Canis lupus familiaris: one gene and its partner. The protein of the gene in region 1 purifies or fractionates together with the protein of each later gene. This does not show direct contact. Links are inferred from orthologs where the notes say so. Each region holds a gene or a part of one and is shown on either strand. Other genes may lie near its edges. The genes, in order: CDC25C and SUFU.

Region 1 (4,405 bases):
GCGACAGCCAGGACTTCACCCTCAAACACCAAACAAGAAGAGGAGGTACAGCCGCCGCTCCTGGGATGCCCAGATCAGGCAGTGGAGAAGAGCCCTGCATTCCTGGGATCCCCCCAGCCAGCCCCCGAAAGGCAGGAGGTCCGAGGGGTGTGTGTATTATTCTTGGTTCCTTGTTAGGAGTGGTGGACTGAGCCCTACCTCTCCTCACTTTGCAGAGGTTTAGCTTTTTCTGGCTGAAAAGGGATAGTCTGAAAGAGGTGCATATTCCTCTGACTCTGCCACTTTCCCAGCCAGGGAATGGAGCATCTCTTAGAGCCAATGGGTTCCACACCTACGGATGACCTCCTGGATGACTGGTTCCAGGCCCTGGAACCATCAGTGAATCTGAATGAAGACCAGAAGGGAGCCCAGGTAGTATCCTTTTCTAAAACCCATTGGAGCAGGGTTAGAGTAGGGTCTGGCCCACAAGGTAACAATTAGGATGGGATTCAAGGTAGTAGTCGAAAAACAAAAGAAGAAAAATTGGGCAGCAAGAAAAAATAGGACATGAATTAAAATATCTAAGAAAAAGGTGGCATAAGGACATTTAATTGTAGTTAACAATGGTGGGAAATTGGGCTGCATTGGGGGTTATTTTATACTTGATGAAAGGAGTACAATATTTCTTGGAATTGAGGCCTTGAAACCTGATATGGCTTTTTTAATGTCTCCTTTTATTTCAATATTTTGCAAATGAGCCAATGCTAACTTTACTTCTTATTCTCAGTCACTGAACTTTAATAAAGTATGGTTGATAATAAAAACAAGGATTACCAAGTGGAATGAAGACCAAGGGCTTTAGAGCCTCAGGACTGCTTTATAATATTACCTTTGTCCACCACATGGACAATCACTTCATCTCTCCAACCATTTCAACTGTCAAATAGGGAGATTTGTCTCATTTGATGATTCTAAGCAAAAAATAAGAATACATATTAAAGTATGTAGCACGGTGCCTGGCACATAATAAGTGCTCCACAACAGCAATTATTGGAAACTAGGTCTCCCCACTTCATGGCCCCTGTCCCCTCTTTTGCCAAGGAGAAATGTGCAAGGAAAGGAAATGTGCAGTGCATCTTCCTTCCACCCCCATTTTCTTCATAAGTAGCTCACTCTGCCTCTACTCTTCTTTTTCAGTTTGCAGACTTGGTACCTCCTGCCTACTCCTTTCCCTGGCTCTATGAGGAAGAACACCACTGGTTCTACTTTCTAGCTGATCACAGTTACATACCTGTCCCAGATTTGAATGAGGCACAAAATATTTAGAGAAAGCATATGTCTTTCAAGGGACGTGTTGCTAAGTGTAACAGTAAAGATTACCTGCATTACTGCTACTTCCCAATGGATTAAAAAAAAAAAAATCTAAAACTGCCCTACAAAGAGATCACAACACGAAAGCATTGTTTAAAACTTCTTTTTCCATTTCTGCCTGCTTTTCTAAACCTTCTTTGATAGCTGAGCCTCAAATTTACATAAGAGCCAGTAACCATTTTGCTGTTCCCCAACCTCCTCCCTACTAACGTCTACATTCAGGCTTCTCAAAAAAGACTTAAACTTTGGCTGAGGTGGGAGGTGATGGTAGTGGTGGAAATTTAATAAAGGGTGGCATCCTCTTCCTGAAGAGGAAATACAAAGCTATCAACATCTTTTACCCAGCTGCCTGTTTCCTTCCTCCCTCCCTTTCTGTCTTAAGGAAAGTGGTCCAGCTGTAACCACCATACTCCCCCCCCTCCCCCGCCCACCCCCGCAAGCAACTGAACCGCCTATGATGTCATAATCACAACCCCATTACCTCATCCTGCTGGGGGGTGGGGGTGCGTAGAGGAAGGAGGAGGAGTGAGCAGCCCTGGGCCCTTTTCAGCTTTACAAAGTGTTTTGGGTGAGGGCTAATTACAGAATCAATTGGGAACGGCCCCGCAACCGTTACAAGTCCTGGGTTTATAAGGTTGGAGGGTATCCGGCAGCTGGAAGAGGGGCTCCCGGGACTCAGAGCAGGCCCTGATCGGCTCTTGGACTACATTTCCCAGAAGTCTTCACGCCGCGGGCCGGTCCTCTGCTGGCGGAAGGGGGATTCCTTCTGAGAGGTGCCCGTAGAGGGCGGGAGGAGAGAGCAGGTAAGAGCAACTCTGGCTATTTCTGTTACGCGGCCCGAACCGGGTAGGGGGCCGTACTAGGGCCAATGTTGGAATGGAGGGCGAGGAGAATCGCTTTGTTTACCTTCGTCCGACACGGTCTCCCCCGCGGGTTTGGAGCTGTGCCGCCAACTGGGTCCGTCCACCTTCAGCAATATTTTGGAGGGGGTGACTCGATAGTGAAGAAGCCACCTTCATCCCTAAATCAAAGAGCTTGGCTCATTCCCGACAGCACTTTCCAAAAAAGATTTTGGGAGAGAAGCGACGCGGGGTTCGAGCCTCCCCGGGCGGTTCAGGGCGATTCTGCGAACCAGAGCGATTCCCCCACTCTCCTTCGGGGCCCGTTGGTTCGCGCCGGCGCCTTTTAAGGGCACCGTGGGGCGAACGGAGCGCTCAGAGCTGCTCCGGCCGCGGCCCAGGGAGCTGGAGGAGCCGCGGTAGGTGGCGAGGGCAGGTGGCGCTGGGGCCTCGGGGCGGGCACCTCGACTGTCCCTCCCTCCTTCCCTCTTTCCCTTCCCCCAGCCCGGCGGCGCGCGCGGCACGGCCTCTCTGGACGCCTCCACGGGGAGAGCACGGGACCCGGTGGGGGAGGGGTTGGTGGAGTGCTAAGTCCCAGACCCTTTCCATCTCCTGCGTCCTGAGTTCGCTTCCCGCGGCCAGATGATGGAAGCTGATTGGGAAGAGGCGAAAGACAGCCCCCCTGAGCGAGCCCTGGTGCCCCCCTAGGGGCTAGCGGACGCCCCATGCCCCACCCCGCGGGGACAGGCAGGGCAACCGAGGGAGAGGTTGAAGACTGGAGGGGGGCCTAGCCTTTTGCTTCTTCATCGGGGTGGGGGGAGGGGTGCTCCCCACTTGTCACCCCTATCCCCGCCAGAGCCATATGGAGGAAGAGCAGTCAGTTCCCCACTTACCTGTTCATGTACCTCCCTGCCTCCCTCATGTTTTTCTTTAGTGTCCCCCAGAGGTGTGGGGCTGGGACCTGGGGGGAGGGTCCCCAGGGGATTTGTGACTCTCCTCCCTCTTGGCTTGATTTGATCCTGGGTTCTCCAGGTTTCAGCACAACCTTAGCATCCCTGAAACCCCAACGTCAGGGGTTACTACCATCCAATAGTAGATGGGGTGGGGGTCCAGTCTTTATTTTAGGGGGCTGTTGGTGGAGGGAAAGCCTGGATTGAGAGTTGGGCCTGGTGGGGTCGTAGGGAGGGCCTAGCGGCCTGCTGCTCTGTGAAGGGCTGAGCCCTGTGCCAGTTGTTAAGCTGAGAAGTTTTAACTTGTTTAGTGAACATTCAGGGCTGTCTCTGCCCCTCAGATACACAAAATGGAAGGGGAAGGAAGGCGGCAAGAGAGGGTTTCTTACACTTTTTTCTATGCCTGCCTGAGAAAGAGGAGGCCCCTCGCGGAGCTGGTTTGCCTTCTTTTGTGTCCTGGTTTGATTCCTTATGGCTTCCGTTCTGTTCCCCCTCTCAGCCTGGCCTGTTTTAGGAAACTCAGGCTGAGAGTATCAGTTGCGTGGTGGTAGTTGCATTGTTCCAATTACCGCCGTGTGTGGCCACATCCCAACAATTAAAATGCAGAAAAACACAAAATCACTCTCTTCACTTGATCCCAGAGAGGGCTGGGAGTTTGCTGTTTGGCCAAATGCCTCATGAAAAGCTTGAAAGACTTTGCTTCACTCCCTGCTCTTCATGGCTGGTGAGCCTGAGGCCTGGGATCTCTGGGGTAAAAGCCTGCAGTTAGGGTCCCTCTCTAGTTGATCTTTTGGGGGCAGAGTTAAGAAACCAAGAGCAATGTGATATAAGCTTTAGCTTTTCCCACAAGATCATAGGGGAAGCCGCTGAAGGGAGCTCTCAGGAAGCTAGAACTTCTTTGAGGGTGGTAATAATAATTATGCATGAAAATGATAGTTAACTGTAATGATGGTTGATTTCTCCCACAGCTTCCAAAAAACTGCAGATACATCAACACGTAGTTCTTTGCTTTTCTTTACTTACTTCTCTCCAAGGTGGAACGGGGTAGAGATGATTCCCTCTTTTTGCAAAAGTAGAAAGTACTCTACCTCCAAGGTCACAGAAGAGCTGTTTGGGGCTTCCCTGGGTGTTCAGGTGAGGGAGGTTGGCATCCAGCCAAATAGATAAACCCAATTGTCCTCTTCAGATTAATGATATTATCACATGTGGCATTCTTAGGCTGTGTAGAGCAACAAACAGGAGAGTTTGAGAAACAGTCTATGTGGA
Region 2 (4,595 bases), on another chromosome or scaffold:
GGCTTTATCTTAAAACTATAACTGTAAGGAATAACCAAGAGTCAGACAAAATTAACCTTGTCCCCAAGCACAGTGTTCTGTTCTACTTACTCAGACACCTGATGGGAAACAGATGATTATGTAGAAAATAATCATATCTTGCACTTAGAAAAATATGTTATCCAAGGACCCAGAGTATCCCTTGATGCTCTTCCTTGAACTTACTTCCTTGAACACCTAACTTCATTCCACATGACAGCTGTAGGACTGCAGTGGCTCCTGGGTACAAGCTCTGCCTCTGTGTTTCTGTTCCCTGCCCACTAAAGTATCAGCTTTCAGCCAGGATGTCCCTGCCGGCCAAGGTCCACTAGCCAAAGAACCAACCTTCTGTCACAAGAAAAGGAATCTCAAGGGACCGTGGGCCACAGCCAGACCCAGGTAGCCTTGGTCAGTCAAACTGCTAACGAGGCCTTGTGGCATCCCAAGTGTGATGTATATTAATGAATTAATTTCAGAATCTTAATTATGCAAACCCTTCCAAATCTTAGAAAGAACTAGTTGCTCAGCTGCTCCTTCTTATATTTTTCTGCATCTGGCCAGCATTTCTAATCTCACAAAGTACTCTTTATTAGTCATTACATGTTGGCCCATTTCTGAAGATAAGTCCTGCCTGGTTAACAAGCTTGCCCAAATCAGTCTTAGTCCTTTGCATGTGCTTTAATATCTTCTGCACACAATTCTATCCTTCATGGCCAACTGGGTGACATAAAAACAGTTGCCTAAGTCTGTGTAGGGATTTCTCTGTTCATTCAAATGAGACCTGAACCAACAGCATCGCAGAACCAGGCCCTCTTTCCCCATGACACAATCCAATACAGTTCATCACAACACATACTTAAATATAGGCAAGAAATGAGAATGGGTGATTAAGTTATCAAGAGCTGCTTTTCACTCAGAAGCTCTCTTCAAAAACTCCTCTCAACCAAAGAACAGTTTGCCTGCTGAAGAGAGAACTGTACCACTGGCCACATCTCCTCTGGCTACCAGACATGACCCTCTCATAGGAGGTGGCTGGTCCCCAGGCCCTGTCTCTTCATATTGTCCCACTGACACAGGCAACTGGCCTCAGCCCCAGACAGTCTAGTTTCTGCCATCTCCAGAGGAAGTTAAGAGGTTATCCTGGAGAAGCTTCCATCCTAAAAGAAGAGGTAACCAGCAAAGACATCCACTCTCTCAACCTCCCCCTTTGGGTCTACCTGCCCCCTTGGCACATCCCAAGCTTTTTTCTGAACAGTCTTTCAGGACTCAGTGAAGGGGATTATTTAATACAGTGCCTGCATGAATGCAGTTCTGGACAAATTCTACCAATTCCTCAGTCAATATGGTCCAGAAAGACCATGAAGACAGGCTCTTTGTCAGAGTCCCTCTAACACCTGTTTTGCCCAGTGGCTGTGAAAAGAGATAGGTTGCAAACAGGAATGGGAAACAAGAAAGGACCATTCCTACCCCAAGGGCAGGCCTTCTATGATCCTGAACAGAGCCACTTGAGGGTTACTCTCAGCTTCCCTGAGAGACTGTGGTCTAAATCCTGAAGCTTGGGGCCAGGAAGCCCCTCTAAACATCTGGCTGCACTTCTTTGCTCCGTGTCTCAGGTCTTCATCATTTACTGGGGTCCCCGGCAATCCTGAGCCAAACCATGGATCTATCTCCCTGACCGTGCCTCTGTTCTAGCCAATGTCCTAGGCAAAGCGGGTGCAGAGCCAAAGGAAGCTCTGCTTGGAGAAAGAGAACTGTGCCGAGTAAGCAGAAAGTTTATCAAGAAAAGTTGCTCCGTGAAACTTCAAACGCAAAAGCACTGCACCGATATGACTGACGTCTGAGCTCATGGGGAAGGTATCTTAAAAGGAGACCTCCTCTTCCTCTCTTCACAAGCACGACTCTCGCAACTTGCCTCCCTCCTAACCTATGGGAGAGCGGGGATCCCCAAATCCACCGTACCCTGTGCAGTCTCAAGCCCTCTGAGCTCGCCAGCCGCACTCCTCCAAAGCCCTCTCTTGTGCTCCCCAGGCCCCGCCTCGCCTCCCCCATCCCACTTCAGCCGCCCTTCTTCCCCCACCCCCGCCCCCGGCTTCCCTTAGCCCACTAATGACCCCCTACAGGCGCCCCCTCCTTTCACCACGTTTACAGTTCCCTTTCTCCTATCGGCCCCCCCCCCCGCTCCTACACACACACCCCCAATTCATTCTATTCTCCTAATCCCAGTTAACCCTTCATCCTCCCCCCTCGTTAACCCTCCTCTACCCAGAGGCTCCGTTAACCCCTTTGTCCCCGTTCCCAACTTCAGCCTTAACTCCTTGCCTCGCAGCAGGACGCCCTCTTTCCAAGTGCTTTAACCATTCTTCTCCACCTCCTCCTCCCCCGCAGATGACTTCGCCCCGGGCGTTCTAACCCTTCCCTGCCCGCCGTCGTCCGTCTCCCCGCGGCCCAGGGCATACCAGTACTTGACGATAGCGGTAACCTGGAGCGGGTTCGGCTGGTCAGGGTAAAGGCGACGGCACTCTCCGTAGATGGCGTGCAGTCCCGGGGGGAAGAGCGAGGCGAAGGCCGGGGGTGCACTAGGGCCAGGGGCCGGGGGCGCGGCGGGGCCGGGGGCGCCGCTAGGCCGCAGCTCCGCCATCCGGGCGCGTAGGGCGCTGGGGGGACCGGGGAGGGTGGACGAGGGGGAGAGCTCTGACGCGCCAGCAGGCGGACTCCGTGGGTGCGACTCCCCCAGGCGATGGGGGCTGCAGCGAGGTCTAGGCTCCGCGCCTGCGCACGGCGCACCGTCTGCCCAGGCCGTAGCCGCCGCAGAGACGGCCGGAGGGTGCCTCGGGGGCCGCGGAGCGCTCGGGGGGGCGGGGCGCCGGCGCGCCCTATCCCGGTATCCATTGGCTAGTGTCTGTGCCAGTCACAGATGGGGAAGGCGTGACTTGGCAATAGGTCCCGCCTCCCTCTCCGTGTGTGGGGGGGGTCCCAAGGCTCTTGGCCTCCCCCTAGTGTTAGGAGGAACCCAGATTTAAATAGAAATGTTGAGGCATCCTCAGGTGCTAGGGTCCCAGGAAAGCTGTGGGAAGCTCGCTGACGAACGACTTGTCGCTATTGTGCTGACACCCTGCTAACAAGAATTTAAGCACAAATTTGACAATAGTGGATTGATTCATTCGTCCATTTAGCGTGGCTTTAGTTGTAATAGATTATAAATCTGAATATTTCCTACCATCTTTGAATGTCCATTTACCATATTTACTGACACTAACCCCGCCAAATTCAGGGGTTGTATGTTGAAATATTTACTTTGGAGTCTTGTTAAAAAGTAGCAAGAGGGATCCCTGGGTGGCGCAGTGGTTTAGCGCCTGCCTTTGGCCCAGGGCGCGATCCTGGAGACCCGGGATCGAATCCCACGTCAGGCTCCCGGTGCATGGAGTCTGCTTCTCCCTCTGCCTGTGTCTCTGCCTCTCTCTCTCTCTCTCTCTCTCTCTATGACTATCATAAATAAATAAAAATTTAAAAAAATTAAAAAAAAAGTAGCAAGAAAAAAAAAAAGTAGCAGGAGTTAGGGACGCCTGAGTGGCTTAGTGATTGAACGTCTGCCTTTGACTCGGGGAATGGTCCCAGAGTTCTGGGATAGAGTCCCACATTGGGCTCCCTGTAGGCAGTCAGCTTCTCTCTCTCTACCTATGTCTCTGCCTCTCTCTCTGTGTGTCTCTCTTGAATAAATAAAATCTTTTTTTTTTTTTAAAGTAGCAAGGGCAGCCCCGGTGGTGCAGCGGTTTAGCGCCGTCTGCAGCCCAGGGCGTGATCCTGGAGACCCTGGATCGAGTCCCATGTCGGGCTCCCTGCGTGGAGCCTGCTTCTCCCTCTGCCTCTCTCTCTCTCTCTCTCTCTCTCTCTCTCACTCTGTGTCTCTATGAATAAATAAATAGAATCTTTAAAAAAAATTAAAAAGTAGGAAGAGTTAGGTAAACTAAGACTAGTTTTTAAAACTTGGTAATTTTTTGTCTTTATTTTTTTTAAGATTTTATTTATTTGAAAGAGAGAGAGAACAGTGGGGGAGAGAGGCAGAGGGAGAGGAAGAAGCAGACTCCCTACTGCTGGATCCCAGGATCCAGAGATCATGACCAGAGCTCAAGGCAGACACTTAACCTACTGAGTCACCCAGGCACCCCAAGACTTGGTAATTTTTAAAATAAATGCTTTTAGTGATGACAATCTCTTCTTTGTTCTGTTTTATGCAGATTGCCTTAAGGAACATCAATATTCATTATCTACTATAGACCTGCTCTTTCCCATTACCATTGGCTTTCTGTAACTGGGAGAATTTTTTGTTATTTTAAGTAATCTCTACATCCAATGTGGGGCTCGAAGTTACAACCCCCAGATTAAGAGCCATGTGTTCTCCCGATTTAGCGAGCCAGCCACCCCTGGGAGAATTTTTAATTCCTAAGCCACCTAGTTGAGAATTATTTTCCAGGGTACAATAAATAATTCCAAGAGAAAGGAATAAAAGGAAGTCCTAATTACCAGTGCTATTGACTAAAGGGTCTCCACTATTTGAACGGGAGGGATTGGTTCATCTA

What was found.
Region 2: the proteins of CDC25C (region 1) and SUFU purify together in Homo sapiens (affinity purification with mass spectrometry; 4 studies listed by BioGRID and IntAct, counting the BioPlex papers as one, with this or other methods). This does not show direct contact. The link is inferred for Canis lupus familiaris from reciprocal best matches to the Homo sapiens genes CDC25C and SUFU.

Annotation. Positions count from the first base shown.
Region 1 is NC_049232.1:25,988,532-25,992,936, forward strand, and holds the start of CDC25C (M-phase inducer phosphatase 3), read right to left. Parts: upstream 3,101-4,405; 5' UTR 3,083-3,100; intron 2,609-3,082; exon of another isoform or gene 2,372-2,608; 5' UTR 2,257-2,371; intron 2,154-2,256; exon of another isoform or gene 1,832-2,153; intron 1,385-1,831; exon of another isoform or gene 1,306-1,384; coding exon of another isoform or gene 1,177-1,305; intron 951-1,176; 5' UTR 869-950; intron 412-868; coding exon of another isoform or gene 291-411; intron 148-290; coding exon of another isoform or gene 1-147. Other genes in the region: SLBP2 (uncharacterized LOC474694), read left to right, coding at 1-147, 291-411, 1,177-1,305. UniProt on the Homo sapiens protein: Functions as a dosage-dependent inducer in mitotic control. Tyrosine protein phosphatase required for progression of the cell cycle. When phosphorylated, highly effective in activating G2 cells into prophase.
Region 2 is NC_049249.1:15,181,948-15,186,542, reverse strand, and holds the start of SUFU (suppressor of fused homolog), read right to left. Parts: upstream 2,838-4,595; 5' UTR 2,657-2,837; coding exon 2,475-2,656; intron 1-2,474. UniProt on the Homo sapiens protein: Negative regulator in the hedgehog/smoothened signaling pathway. Down-regulates GLI1-mediated transactivation of target genes. Down-regulates GLI2-mediated transactivation of target genes. Part of a corepressor complex that acts on DNA-bound GLI1.